Linked DNA regions of Styela clava. The protein of the gene in region 1 purifies or fractionates together with the protein of each later gene. This does not show direct contact. Links are inferred from orthologs where the notes say so. Each region holds a gene or a part of one and is shown in the gene's direction. Other genes may lie near its edges.

Evidence for each region.
Region 2: the proteins of vesicle transport through interaction with t-SNAREs homolog 1A-like (region 1) and vesicle-associated membrane protein 4-like purify together in Homo sapiens (affinity purification with mass spectrometry; 4 studies listed by BioGRID and IntAct, counting the BioPlex papers as one, with this or other methods). This does not show direct contact. The link is inferred for Styela clava from reciprocal best matches to the Homo sapiens genes VTI1A and VAMP4.

What each region holds. Positions count from the first base shown.
Region 1 is NC_135260.1:9,561,156-9,569,252, reverse strand, and holds the start of vesicle transport through interaction with t-SNAREs homolog 1A-like, read left to right. Parts: upstream 1-5,031; 5' UTR 5,032-5,236; coding exon 5,237-5,330; intron 5,331-5,734; coding exon 5,735-5,793; intron 5,794-6,343; coding exon 6,344-6,454; intron 6,455-7,351; coding exon 7,352-7,435; intron 7,436-8,097. UniProt on the Homo sapiens protein: V-SNARE that mediates vesicle transport pathways through interactions with t-SNAREs on the target membrane. These interactions are proposed to mediate aspects of the specificity of vesicle trafficking and to promote fusion of the lipid bilayers.
Region 2 is NC_135258.1:11,720,027-11,727,809, forward strand, and holds the start of vesicle-associated membrane protein 4-like, read left to right. Parts: upstream 1-4,758; 5' UTR 4,759-4,770; intron 4,771-4,935; coding exon of another isoform or gene 4,936-5,018; intron 5,019-5,095; coding exon of another isoform or gene 5,096-5,231; intron 5,232-5,311; coding exon of another isoform or gene 5,312-5,469; intron 5,470-6,312; coding exon of another isoform or gene 6,313-6,436; intron 6,437-6,971; coding exon of another isoform or gene 6,972-7,172; intron 7,173-7,783. Other genes in the region: isoleucine--tRNA ligase, cytoplasmic-like, read right to left, coding at 106-185, 268-350, 845-1,031, 1,748-1,850, 2,251-2,360, 2,652-2,729, 3,960-4,051, 4,529-4,659 and 5 more. UniProt on the Homo sapiens protein: Involved in the pathway that functions to remove an inhibitor (probably synaptotagmin-4) of calcium-triggered exocytosis during the maturation of secretory granules.

The sequences.
Region 1 (8,097 bases):
ATGTCTGGGTCGCTGTTTGGTAACATCTTGTAGCACTGAAAAATAATCTTGAATTCGAGTGGTTGGACAGTGGGCAAGGCTTTACAAACTGCATAGATAATGCACAGCAATAATTGGTCTAATTTTCTTCCGTACAGAATTTCATAACAATGGTTAGTGAAAGCGTGGTTGAATGTGTTCCACATATCTTGAAGAAAATCGGTGATACATAGCATATCACACAAATCTTTCAATAGCACATATGCGTAATTATATGTCTCCAGAAATGCCGCCATAAGAATTGGTTTCCATTTTTTAGGTTTAGATTCCTGTATGTGCTTTGTATCTGAAACACTGGAAGACTTTATGTCGAGATCCTTTTTCAATTCACTTTCTGAAATTTCACATTTTTTAGAGTTATTTTTAAACTTTTTCATTATATTTTGTTGAGAAAGTTCCTCCATAGCATTCTTAAGATCCTTAAATGAAGGCAAGAATGTTTTACATTCGTCGATTTTGGACCATATTGAAGAATCTGTGTTCCATATCACCATCTGCATTATGGAAGTGATAATAATTTGTGAGTACTCACTCAGTATTTTGAATGTTGCGTTAATTGAGAGCTTTTTTAAAAACTTTAGACAATCCAATGCTGAACCTTTAAAATGCTTTATCAATAATGTAAGACTAGCTCTGGGTGAAACATTATAATCCATCAAAGTTAGAGTTACAGAGCATATTTGTAAAGTTGCTTCAAATTCTATGGCTAGACAGTTTGCACCATCTTTATATTTTCTTTGTGCTACCAATTTCTGTGAAAGACATGAATATAGTTGGATACATCTTTGTACAATTTCTTCAACACTTTCAGTTACCAAAGTTAGATTTATTATACTTGGTAAACAACGGAGAAATTCTTGCCGTGCATTTTCAACCCTGATTTTGAGGTCGGCATCTTCTTCATTATCGCAAACACAGAGATTGAGAAATACCTTCACTTTCTTCCCATCCATACCGTACTGTAACCAAGTAAGGTGCGGTATCGTACAGGAGTGTTGAAACAGTGGTACAAAAATAATCAAGTCTATTAAACCAGAGACAATGCATAACAACAAGACGTCAAGCTTCCTTTGTTTATTAATATAATTCCCGACGATTTGTTAATCACTCTCTGCCACCTAGTGGGGGTTTACAACAAGCGGTTGTCTTCAGAGGTTGTTTGCGGTGGAAGTTGTTTCGAAGTTTTGCAGCATCACCATAATAGTTACGAAATTATTCTATCCCTTATTTAATAATGTAACCAAGTGTAATTTTTTGAGGATTTGTTAACCGCTATCTGCCACCTAGTGGAGGCTGGCCGCAAACGGCCATCTTCACAGGTTGTATGCGGTGGAAGTTGTTTCCAGTTTATGGGAAACAAGTATTGTTGTCCGGGATGTAATAGATAATCAACGCAAAAAAAGCATTGTCAAAATACCACTATGGAAAAATAAAACAGTACAGCGTAATACCGTCGAAGTTTTTAACTTCGGACAAAAAATTTAAGCTGGCATATATCAACTAAAATGTGACGTATTCATGCTCATGTCAATTTCTATTCTAGCATTGTTTTCAACTTTAATAATGTCGCCAAAAATGTACCGTATCACGATTTTCAACAACTCCTGAACAAAGTAGCAGTAATTCAGAAGACTCGAAAATGGATGTCGTACGCAAAATGACTCCATTGGGTCAATAAATCAACTTCATACTAGATGAAAAATCTTAACCCTAAGAAGATTGGTCATCCGAGGGAATTTACCAAAAAAGAATGGGCCCGATTTGCTTCATGTATTCAAATTATTGCTCGTTGGGTTTTTCCGATCGGTTCTAAAAACACGAGGAATATTGTAAAAAATTATTTGGATAGAAGAGAAATAAGTTCTTCATTTCCGGACAACAAACCTGGTGGATCGATAACTTCTGTAGAACACGCATTTAATATAGTACAAGTTGTACGTTAAGATATTCAATCATATTATTCAGAAATGAAAGACATAGTTAACCGAATACCACCAGCAAATTTTTTAATCGCGATGAAACTAACCTCCAAGACAACAAAGGAGAAAGCGACCAATTGTTTTGGATCGAACTCGAAGTAACAGATTAGAAAGGATTCAAGACTCTTCAAAAACTTCAAATTCCACGATGTTCTGCGAGCCAGCAGCTATCAAATTCGGTTCATACCACACTTGACCAAGTGTGTAGTTAGTCTGATCATTGGTCTGACATTTTATTTACCAGTCTGAGTACCGAGAAGTTTTTGCTATCAATTGACTTATATTTTTTTGTTGTGTATTTGTACTTTGATGAACAAAACAAAATAAACTCCCCCGCTCTCTCTAATGAGAATATTTATACATTTAATATTTAATGCACGACGAAAATAAAATTTATCTGGCCTCCCCGTTAGTCGTTGGGCCTCCCATATAATGATTCGCTTCTGGTTTAATTAATCTCACGTCGTCACATGGTGGTACTATAGAGTAAAGTAATTACGGGTTAACAGTGTTGAGCTCGTATGTCGTATATCTTTTCTTTATCTGATACCATATCTGAACGGGTCTGTGTAATTTGTTTTTATTAATCATTTTTAATCATTTTATTGTTATGCTGATAATGGAGGCGAAATAAACTTGTATTATTGGACACGTAGTGGACATAACGATCGTTTCAATATTATGTTGTTGTTGTTCTTGTTCTTGTTCTTGTTGTTGTTCTTGTTCTTGTTCTTTGACACGTTTTTAAAAAGTCGCTTTTCTCTTCGAATACTGGACCAATTGCTTTGAAATTTTCAGTGGTTGAAGATTAATTTTTTCGCTAGAAGGCTATTACTTTTGTTTATTCTTAAATTTTATATGAATCCTATGAGATATGATATTTCATACAAAATTTCGCGGTATTTATTTTTACTCATGGGAACACTGTTTTACACTTATTTCAAGCGGTTTCGCGATCGATTGTCTTGCTCAGTACTACAGCTACTGTAGGTCGGTACTGGTAAGTTGCCATACCGGTGCCGTAACGCAGTGAAATTGACTTATTCCTTAGGATAGGATAGGATAGGATTTACATATTTATCCCGGGGGAGAGGAAAGCCGATAAGACGGCTTATCCATATGGCGAACCACGGCCTCTCGTCCGGTTACCATTCCAAGCCAGACTGGATTCCATGGCAGGTGCACGCCCGAGGGCGCTAGCGCTCCGCAAAAATGCACGCGAGCGAAATCAATTTTGCACGCCGAAAATTTGCAATTGCTCACCAATGTAAATCGGTTTAAATGGTTTTAAAATCAATAATCCAGTAATATAAAGATGCCAAAATATTATAACTCCACAATTGTCGACAAATACCAGCCTGCAAGATTTGGTCTGATCGAAATATTGCGAAGCAAAAAGACCATGGACCTTTTCCCAACCTTTGACCCGCGAAAAATTCCTCTCATTGTTACGTCCTTTTTTGCATCTTGCTGATTGGCCAATGTCACGAAGTAAACAAGGAAGTCGATGCACGGGGAAAGGTCCATATCGTGTTGAATGATAGGAAATAGGAATCCCGTGCGAATAGTTATGGACGAAAAGATCACTTCCGCACCAATGGCCAAGTACGGCTCTGATTCAGCGTATTTTTCATACAATAATTTTACACGAATGTACTGAACAGTACCGGTATCTAAAGTTGCTCAAACACTCCCAAAATTAGTGACAAAGTATGAAAATAATGTTTGGGGTCAAAGGTCAAACGTCCATTTTGCTCTAATTTGACGTATTTTTTATCCATTAATTCTACGTAAAAACACTACCAAAATTAATGACAAAGTATATCCATTTTGCTCTGGTTCAACGTATTTTTTATCTAATAATTTTACGCGGATGTACTGAACAGTACCGGTATCCAAAGTCGCACAAACACTCTCAAAATTAGCGACAAACTGTAGGAATAATGTTTGGGGTCAAAGGTCAAACGTCCATTTTTTCTCTGATTCAACGTATTTTTTATCCGATACCGGTAGTTTTACGCGGATGTATTGAGAGGTATCTGATGTCAAAGTCAGTTGCACGCGAGTGCAGTTGTTTTGCACGTCGTGAGCTATAATTGCACGCCAGGAATTCTTATTTGCACGCGGGAATTTCTGATTGCACGCCCGATTTCTCGTTCAAAAAGGCCATGAAATCCAGACTGGATTCCAAGTCGGGTATGGGATTAGTTTTTACTGTATTGTTTGTTTTTCGGAAGCATGGACTTGGTGGTGGAGGAAGCCGTAACCGACCAGCGGTTACGTGAACCACCCAACGACGGCGAGGAGTCCAGCAATCCTCTCGCACATAACCATCCCTGCATGGGATTCGAACCTGCGAACCCACGCAGAGTGATTAGAGGTGCGGTGGCGAGCGTATTCCTAACGCTTAGCCCGTTGAGCCACACCGCCGCCTTCCGCGGTATTACTAATGCTGCAATGCAAGTTTTATAGCCTATCGTATGCGGAACGGAATATCAGACCTACAGGTTCGGTACTGGTACTGGTGCCGGTACCGGTGTCTTACCACAATGAAATTACCGTACCGTAACTTATTCTTTCACGGTCCTACCAGTGCAGTGATGCAAGCGTTGTAGCACTTGTAGCCTACTATATTTGTTTATTTTGATGAGAGTCTACTGGAAACAACATAAAATTTGAAAGGGAAGAATTGTTCTGTGATCAATTATCTGTCCTAAAGTGTAAACAACATAAAATTTGCAAGGGAACAACTGTTCTGTGATCAATTACCGTATATGGCCTACAGTGTACAGGTAAGATGCTGCCTGACTGCTAACTCAGTACCGCTTGACACGTTTTTAAAAAGTCGCTTTTCTCTTCGAATACTGGACCAATTGCTTTGAAATTTTTAGTGGTTAAAGATAAAAATTTTCTCCAGAAGTCTATTACTTCTTTTTTCGCTATGACGTCATCGAAATTATGTGACTCTACGTGTCCATATATTTGAGCATAGCTCTCTTGTACTTTTATTATGAATAATGTTACAACATGTTTGGTATTTAGGCGTTTGAAATTAGGCTTATGTTACCATATTCATTTTATTGCAACTTGAAAGTCAAATACCAGAATACTGAAACAAGGTAACAACCGGTACAGATACCGTGATACATTTCTTACATCTGTACATTGCTGTTTCCGTCAGCTGCATTGTGCTGTTGTGAAGCAAGCGGACATCCAACATGGCTGCGATTTTTGAATCGTATGAGCAACAGTTTTCATCATTAACTGCTGAAATAACAAGAAGATTGGGCTCTGTATCTTCATTATATGGGGGTATGTGATATAATATTTACCAGCGCTATCAAATAATGCTGTATTGGGTTTTTAGCTTTGGTAGAAGTCACGATTCTGGTCGAACGAAAACGATGTGTCATTTTTTTGCTAAAATGTGATCTTTTTAGTCAAAAAGTAAATAAGACTGTGCGATTGAATAAGATAACAGATTCAGAGATACCATAGAATCTGCCAGAAGCACAATACGACACAATTTAGCCATGATATAAACGATTGAAAATTTCATTTGTGTTTCAAAGTTGCAAGATATCCGAAGTTAGTCGTTTTTGCGATGCCTATTATTTTCTATGCAACTGTAGTCTAATATCGTTAAAGTTTAGGACTGAATAAAGTAGAATAATTCATTTCCTGAATTATATTTTTGCCCTCATTATTCATTTCAGTTGACAAAAAGACTGTGATAAGCTCAATAGAAAGACAACTTGATGAAGCCCAGGAATTGGTAAGAATATTTGCATTTTCTACGATGCAGACTTAGGCACGTGGAGGCATAGTGTAACAAGTACAGTTTCTCTTCTACAAAAATAATGTTGATATATTTAAGTGAATTTTGATTGCATCTTGATTAGCTTTGGTCTACTGTCAGACTGTAGGAATGAAGTATGACTTATGTAATTGATTTCTTTTAAAAGATTGATATCATATTAATTTTCAACAAATCTATGTGAGAAATAGCAGGAAAGATACAGGGCTTAAAATTAAGTTTCAAATGTGATCTTTAACCCCATTTCGATCAAGGCTCATTCTGCTCGGACAAATTTTATCAATTCTCATTTAAAAGTAATGCTGGATCGTATCAAAATCATCTGTCCCAATTGTCATTTTTGCTTTTGTGGTTTTAATAATCACCATATGAGTTCATTCCCTCGCGGACTGCCAACGTCTATTTGATTTTTTAATTCGATGTAAGAAATATTGAATTCTTCGGAATACTTTTAAGAAAGTGTTTTGTTTTTGTCAATTGTCTCAAAGTCAATATTATTTTTTGCCAGTTGGAACAAATGGATTTAGAAGTTCGAGATATGCCCAGTGCTGAAAGAGGAAAACTAATGAGCCGTGTGAAAAGTTATCAAACAGAATATACAAATTTGGAATCTCAATTGGTGGGTGCTATTGGTTTGCATATTTTAAACCAGTTTTTCTGACCAATGTGTGGGTACTAATCCCTTCCAAGATTCATCACACGCACGCACACACACACGCTGATTCATTTTTTATTTATATTGCAGCTCAATAAAGGCAACCCTAAGTATTTAACAATATTTTTCATAATGCCATCTACTTCCTGACTTGTTAGCTGAAAATAAGCATTTTGAGAAAGTGTGATGCTTTATTTGTCAAAATCCTAAAACTGATTTTCTGAATTATTGATGTTTGTTGGAGCCCAGCATGGCAGTCATGCACTGATATACATATTATTTTCTTTTTTGTCAGTTTCGAAGATAGGTTAGTAATTATAGTGTATGGATAGCATAAGTGGACATAGTCGATAAATATTTTATTCTCTTGTTGTATTTTTGGTTGTACTTTCATTAAATAATTCTCAAATGATACTTTTTTTGATTTTTGATGAAATAACATCACACAACTCAATATATTGAGTAATAAAGTATCAATGACAAATAAAACAATATAAAATAAAATTACCAACGAATCCCCAATTTTTCAAGGTGTTCTTTAGCATGCTGTTTGTATTTTGACGGTTTTGTTTAAAAAGAGCGTACTGTATAGTTTTTCTGTTTCATTCTGATAATTTGTTACAGAATATTTCATCCAATATCGATGGATAAATTATGTACATGAATTCTTCTGAAATAAAGAATCCAAGAAATTAAGTTCAAACAAATATAATAAAGTATATTTGTGTTATTATCTTGAGATTATGTTTGATGCAAAGGTGTGATAATTGATGTTTAGACGGTCTGCTCTATAGAAGCAATCCCAGATTACAGCAGCCAATATATTCCAACCTTTATTTTATCATATACATATTGTTACAGAAAAAGCACAAAACTTCAGCAAAAGATGCCGCAAAAATGAGGGAAGAGTTGTTAGAATATGATGATGGTTCAACGAATGACCAGGTGATTAAATTTATTTGCATTTTCTTTTCAAATATTTGTATGACTCACAAATAATCAGTTTGGATTTGGACATATCTCCTAAATCCCTATTTAGAATTAGAATTAACGTTGTAAAAAAAAATATGAATATTAACGCTATTTACATGATAAATAAGATCAGGGACATTTTTATTTAAATGTTGGGCATCTTAGTTTTAAAATATCTTTATTTTTTACAAATTTCAATGAATATCCTGATAGTAATAAACATGTAATGACTGGAACATTACACTATTTTATCAATGCAATCACCATGGATATAGAATATCCAAATCATTGTGTAATATAGATTGATCGTTAAATCCAATTGGTTGCTATTGGTTTATTTTAAGTGTAGGAAATTAGCACAACATCTGGTATCTAATGGGAACCAAAATTATGAATGGCTGGTGTTTTTAAAAAATATTTATATTGAGTTTTGGTTGGATAATCCTGGGTGAATACTCTGGACAATGTTAAAGGCTTTCAAACTCACAAAAGGGTGACACCTAAAAAAGCTGTTTTGAGAAAGTGAGAAAAACGTATAATTTTTTATTTTTGAACTCTGAAACATCCCTCAAACTATGATTTTATGCCAGCCTAAACAGCACCTATTTCTCTGTAATATTTCCAAATAATTTTTT
Region 2 (7,783 bases), on another chromosome or scaffold:
ACCTATGAGGCTATGACCCGCAGTCTGTCCCCATTGTTTACTATAATTTGTAATCAAAGTTTATATAAGTAAAAGAAGAGAATCGAAAATAATCATTAATCATACTTCGATGGAGCGTCTCCTGAGGCCGATTCGAAATGATAAATAATTCTGAGATCTCCCTCACCAAGTTGATGGCCACCAATCTGAAAAATATAAGAAAAAAATTAGAATTTAGCTATCATTTCTTGTGAAAGATAAAATGAGAAAACAAATAGTTAAACTGACCTCGATAGATCCTTTCTGCAAATAGTCTTCAACTTGCTGACTTGATAATTTAGCTATTTCTGCCGATACTTGTTTGAATTCACCTGTAAAATGTGTATATTAAACAACTTTGCTAGTTGAGTACGTCGAGAGCCCTAAACTGAATTAGAATGATCATTGACAAAAATATGGTAAGCAACTAATGAATAGAGCTACGAATAGATGTATTATTCATTTGGTTATGCTATATTGCCTATATAATACTTTGAAGTGATGCACATTGTTAACTGTCAATGACGCAATAACTCTTTAAGCTGTGCAAAAACAGGAGTGCTACTTGTGAATAACTTTAGTAAAGTATCTATTAAAGATTAAACAAAAGAAGCAATAGATAACGAAGAAGGAATAATAAGTTCCAAAATTCCAGGAGGAGTTTTAAAAAAGGTTGCGAACCACTGGATTAAGATTTTTGTTAGAAACCAGATTGTTTGGTATTCTCAGTTTGTGATTAGAAGAGGATTAATGTAAAAATGCAACATTTAGTAGCAGGCTTTATGAAAATTTGATTTCAAAATTAACAAAAAAAATGGGAAATTACCTTTCAAACGTTTCCCGAGAATCATGTGATCAGGTTGTGCGCGAAGACTAACTTCATATTTGTCTTTATCGGAAGAAGTCGTGATCTTGCGTACATTCAATTCCTCGGAAACATATCGCTCCAAACTAGCAACATCATCCAGATATTCTTTGCTTTTGTGGATGATGACAACCTCAGGCAAAGGGTACTGTAAGAAATTAAATTTCATATAAGCTAACATGAAAATAATTGTACTGGAAAGAGATCTGCAGTTAAATCATGCCTAACAAACAATAAACTATTAGCATAGCTTGACTTGACTTGACTGGATGAAAGCACGGGTCGCACCTTTATATAGGCTTTCTAGTAGTTGCTTGCACAAAAATTTTGGTTATTGATCCTATGACATGCGTTGTTCACTTCGCACAAGCTAGCTGTTAGGACATTATGACGCAGACAGTAAATTAGATAATAATGAGTAAGATAATAGTAGTGGAGAATAATGCATAGATAATAAATTAGAGTAGACTAGAGTATAGGCTTTGCAACACAAAGGGATTGGAATCCCTCGCATGCACCAGATTAAACCAAATCAAAAATTTATCCGCGGGCCACACAATTTTTTCTTGTGGGCCACAATCGGCCAGCAGGCTGCAGGTTGTGTATACCATTGAGGCTGGCATCAGTAACATGCTTACAGAAAAATAACAATACAAAATAAGACTATTTGCACAAACTTGCAGTGACATGTGAAATGAAATGTTTGCCTGCAGTTGACGACGACAAAATTTAAAACCAAGTTTGATTTGTTAACAGAGAATGATTATTTTAAATGGCCGTCTGAAAAAGGACTGAATCTTCATAGTTTTTCCTTCAGAATGACAAAAGAACGAAGAATCGTATGCAGTCGAAATCAGTTAATACCTTGATTGGCATTGTATTTCTATCTCTGATTATTCTTCCTAATTCAATAACAGTTTGCATCCTTGAAACTGCTCTCTCAATTTCCACATTAATCAGTTTCTCACTAAAATTGAGAAAATAAAATATAAATAATTTACAATGAATATATAAAACTATAAACGCTGGTCTTATAACATAGATAAAGCATATCAGTAATTCTAAAGAATATTTGGATTACTGTATTTGCATTATCTATGATTGCCTGCGTTTCGTGGAAATTTATGAATAGTCAGAAACAAAATGAATATAATTTCAGTTATCGCTGGCTATAATTAACAATACAAATCAGTAATTTCTATGTTGTTGTCTATTTGGTTGTATTAAAATGAGATTGTATGAAGAAGGATCATGATGGAAATTCCTAGAGTGAAAATAAGGCAACCATATACAGTGGTCACAATTGATGAATCACAATTTCTCCAATGGTTTATGAAAAGAGTAAATTAAGTTCTTGAATATCTTACTTCGCATCTGGGAACATCAAATAATGGATACTTTCAGCATTTTCTTTAGATTTCAAAACTTTCTTGAGATTTTGATACATATGCTCAGTAAGGAACGGAGTAAATGGACTCTGAAAAAAAAAGGATTACAGACTGCATAATAGATGTATTTTTGTTATCATGTGACATTTTTTGTGCGGCTTATTTACAAGCCTTTTGCTCCAAACAAGGAAGTAAAGTCATTAACAACTAGTACATATTCACTCGCTAAAATCCAAGGCCACCCACCCAAATAGGCCACCCAAGCCCCCCCCCCGAAGCCGTGCCTTGCAATAAAACACATAAAAAAAATCATTTATAGTAAAATGGCAGCTGATCTGCATTTTGATTAAAGATAGAGTTTTGGAATCATAAAAACTTACCATTTCTCTAATCATTGTGTACAGAACACTATAAAGTGTTTGCAATGCTTTTTGACAATCTTCAGGTCCACCGTCACCCTGAAACATTCAAAGAGTCAAGTGAATTGTCAGCTATAACTTGCTCTTTGACCTGATATTATATAAACAAGATTAGAAGAAGCTCTATAATAATATAAAAAGTTAATTAGACAACTTCAAATCAATATAAAAAGGATTGTTTATCATTTAAATAGAGAATAAAAAAGCATAGAAAAAGAATTGTAATAAGGATAGGATTTCATATTTATACCAGGGAGAGAAGAACGACAAAAAGGTTTACCTCTCGTCCGGTTACCAGTCCATGTCAGGTATGGGATTTGTTAGCCAGATATTTTGTTTTTGAAAAAATGGAATTGATGGTGGAAGTAGCCATAAGCCCCATGTAACATTGATTAAGAAATAAACTCAAGAAAAATTTCCATTTTAAAAGCCATTTTATAGTCAACACACTTTAAAATATGTATTTATAATAATATATACGTTAATAATATAAGTTACATTCGCTGATTCAAAGTTGCATCATCCAAAACTGATAAAAGAATTTCCATAAAAGGCGACCTAGTCATAGGTAAACATATTCTATCACAGAAAACTACTTGTTTTTGAAGTTTGGCAATGAAATTCACCTGGAGCTCAAACAAGGTTCTATTTGTAATCCATTCTGGTTATTTCCTACAATGTTTACTTATCTGATAATATTATCAAAGGTTACTTTGAGAATTTGGAGTGTTTTATACAGAGTAAATAGTAATATTAGGATTTTTATTGGCATTGCTATCCAAAAAATTGGATTTTCTTAATATTAAATGTCACCCTTCTTTTGATAAATCGAATAAATCAAAATGAAATTTAATTCCAGACGTAAAAGCATATAAGATTGAAAATCTAGACAAACAAATAGTGATTTATCACTGCACCCATTAGGGTAAACATGCTGTAGTATACCAGAATAAGCGGTGTGAGTAGTAATGGCGTATTAAAATAGATATATGTTGATTAAACCTTCAACAAAATCTCAGATTTTATTAAAAATCGACAACCTATTTTAAAAGTAAAATAATTCTCTGTAATAGTAAAACTACAATATTAGAATGCAAAAAATGCTATTTTATTGAGGCACAATGTTATCTTCCAATAACGTTATAAAACTTATTCAATTACAGTGCATAAAATAGAGATAAACGTGTTTAACTAAAATTTAAACACACATATTCCCAATAAATATCATGGACATCCACAAATTTAACTAAAACAAGCAAATATAAAAACCTTCAATCTTTTCCTGTTTGATCTGACGTACCAGTTTGTCAATAAATCCACAAATTTGACCAATCGAGGAACGACAGTATACAAGTGGTATGCTGCAAAGTAAAATATCCAATTCACCAAATAAGATAGTCTTAATGAAAATCAATTATTGAGAAGCGCAAGTCGCTGTGTTATGAAAATAAAGTAGCACTGCACAATGAGACCCACATGGCTTCATTATCATGCAATGTCATTTGCACAGCATACATCATGGTTGTCAATTGCAATATATTTTAAAATCTCGTTCGTTTATGTTGATACAGTAGCAATGCTCAAGATAAAATCCTAAAATATTATGCAAATGATTTTCTCTAAGGATTCAACTTCAAAATGTTTTGACAAATATGCAATAGAAGTCCATGTTTATTTGATCATGAAGAGATATGTTCGATAAAAAAAATTGAAACATTTTGATAAAGAAAATTTTGGAATTTTGGCCAAACTATTGGCAATTCAGATTTAGCTTGCACACACAATTTACATGGATACGATGATAGGCTAAAGTTTCAACTGCGATTGAGATATCACACCTTTCATTTCCTTTTTCACATACAGTACAAGTGATTGTATTGATGACAGAATCCATTTGTCCATTATGTTGTCTGAACTTCCAAGATCATCTTCTTTGTATTTGAATTCAATGCCTTCTTCCTTTTGAAGCCTTAAAACAAGTGCAACTTCATTTTATTGAAATAAGCAATGGATGAAATTTGCATTATAATTTTGAACAAATAGGAGTGAATATGACATTGGAGTATTTGGTTGTATTAAGGTATAAAAATAGGATCGCTTTAAAATGACTACGGCTGCTTCTCATTAATATAAGACATGATGGAAATGCTAACACATTCCCAATTAAACCAGAAGAGTGATTAAAATTTAATAAACTGAAATTTTTGTTTCTACAAATTGAAATTTGAATTGGTCCAAAACTTACCTTATTACGTTCTGCACAAAAAATCTGTATGCATTGTACCAAGGTAGAAAAACATCTTTCAAAATATCTCGTACACCATTTTCCTAAAAATAAAAAGAAACATTTATATTGCAAAAAATATTCCCTATTTATAACAAATAAAAAACAAGCAATACAGTACCTGAAATCTCAAATTCTCGGCACGAACCACAGGTGAATTGATCAAATATAATCGGAGAGCATCTGCACCATATGCATGTACAACTTTGATTGGATCAGGATAGTTTTTCTTCCTTTTGCTCATTTTCTGACCATCGCTGAGATTAAGTATTAACAACATTGAATTATGAACAACATGAATAAATCAAAAATGGTATTAACAATATCGATGCCATACCTGGCAAGAACGAGTCCATTGACAATTAGATTTTGAAATGGAGGTTTCCCAAACAAAGCAGTGGATAATACCAGCAAGGTATAAAACCATCCTCTTGTTTGATCAATTCCTTCAGCAATGAAATGAGCTGGAAAACTGTCTTCAAATTCTTTCTTGTTCTAAAGACATAAAAATTATGAATAATTACCACAACTGGTTTGCCATAGAATATTTTTTATGCTTGGGAAATTTGGATAACTCTCATTGCTGTGTGACCAGACCACTAACAATGATTCCAATGCAGGTTAATAGTGAAGCAATAATAATAGGCCTAAAAGGAAACAAAAATTAAGGTATAATCCATGCTAAATTCCAAATCAAGAAAGTCTTGGCAGTTGGAATGCATCATAGATTGAGACATAAGAAACCAAAAACTTGAAACAATTGAAATGAAATTTACGCAATTGCTTGACTTGTGAATATGACTGAGCATTTTGAATCAAATATTTGAACAATAATTTTTTTTAAATGGTTCAGATCAAACTTTCGAATGATCGCCATCTTTTTTCTAGTCTTCCGTTCAAGGTCAAGAATCTTTCCATTTTTTTATTGCAACCATATTCTTAAAATGCAATCTTGTCGTATGACATTTTTTCTACTAGTGAGATATTGATAAAATCTGTTTCTTATTGTGGGTGACAACTCAGCAATTTGTCTAAGTAATAGATTCTATGTTTTCAGTAATTTATGTGTATGAAGGACATATGGCGATAAAAAAGTTAATACATACAGTTACCCTTTTCCAAGTATTCGAGATTCGATTAGATTGAGTAAAATTTTTTGATTCAATTCAGAAATCATCAGGTATTCGAAAATACCCACCTCATATGTTGTATTTATTAAATGCATGCATATATTATTAAGCTTTTCCTTGCCCAGTCCAGTGAATCAAGTTCCAGGACAGAATCTTAAGGCATTGAGGAAACAGAACTTTAAGGCATTGAGGAAAAATAATAGCATACCTCAAATGGATAATGCATTTGAGCATAAGGCATAGATCCACTTTCAAACCAGCAATCAAATACTTCGGATATACGACGTAAAACTCCTTTTCCAAGGCGTGATGGTATAGTGATGCCATCAACACTAAAGAGAAATAGCAAAGCATGAAGTTGGAAAATTGACAGACAATAAGAAACAGAAGATTGACAGTAGTTAAAAACAGAAACAAAAGGATTATCCGCTAAAAAAAATAAAGGCTCTCTAAAAAGCAAAAAATTTGTGAATTTTCATGTATATACATAATGTTGAACTTGTCAAATAATTATAAACGAATGATGAAGATCAGATAATGATTAACAAAAGAAGCAAGATTTCAAAAGCTTGAACTAAATTATAAGTAAATTATGACACAGATAAATGTTAATATGCTAAATGCAGGGGGCATAGCCATTTCAGAACCGAAGTTTCAAATTCAAAATCGGAGATTCGCCTGCAATGGCTTCTGAAACCACCTATTAAAAGAGGTGATTCTTCTGAGAATACTGATTTTTCTGTTGCATAAAATATGCAATCCCTGTCCAATAGAAGCATTAAGAATGCCTTGCCATATTAATTAATTATGTTCAACTCACGACTCGTTGACATACGACAAAATAAAAACATCATTACTCTAAAATACCTTTCTCTATGAAGATCAGTGACTTTGACCCCAGATAATTGTTCCAATTCCTCTATGGACCCGATGCAAACGATTTCTTCGAAATCCTCGCTGACCCACAATGGTATTGGAGTACCCCAATATCTATTACGAGAAACGGCCCAGTCATGAGCATCCCGAAGCCAGTTTGCAAAACGTTTTTCTTTGACAAAATTAGGAACCCTGAAATGGAGAGAAAATTATAATGTGAAATTAAATAGCTGAAAGTGACATATTATTTTTCTTATGTATCGCATTTCTGAGTAGTGAGAGTGGTCGGCCTAAGCTATGTTGGTGTCACAGGTCAAAAATTTCTGGTTCAATCTCAGAAGCTGACTTCGCTACCCGTGTTGTAATTGGATTAGCAATGGAATCGACTGGAAAGATTTCAATTCATCAAAAATGGTAGATAATTATGTTGTACGATGCCTATGTTGCAGGTTAGCAATGGACTGAAAGGCTCCAATCCATCAAAATCAGTATCTAATTACGTAGTCACTGGCCTTCGAAGAGAAGGTATGAAAACACCTCATAAAATGACCATGGTTCGCATAATTTTTTCTTCCACCATTCGGTCAATGCATCCACAACAATTAGCTACTTCCACCTAGTCTTGTAACTAGAAAAACTGATAACTTGTCATAAGAGTATGTCGTCTGGCACCTTTTTTCTTCGAGCTAACCAAGATAACCAATAAATATTTCAATAATACTCACAAAATAAAAAAAACTTCACTTTGCATCACATTTCATTGGCAATTCATGATAATATTTTCATATTTATCCCAAGGGAGG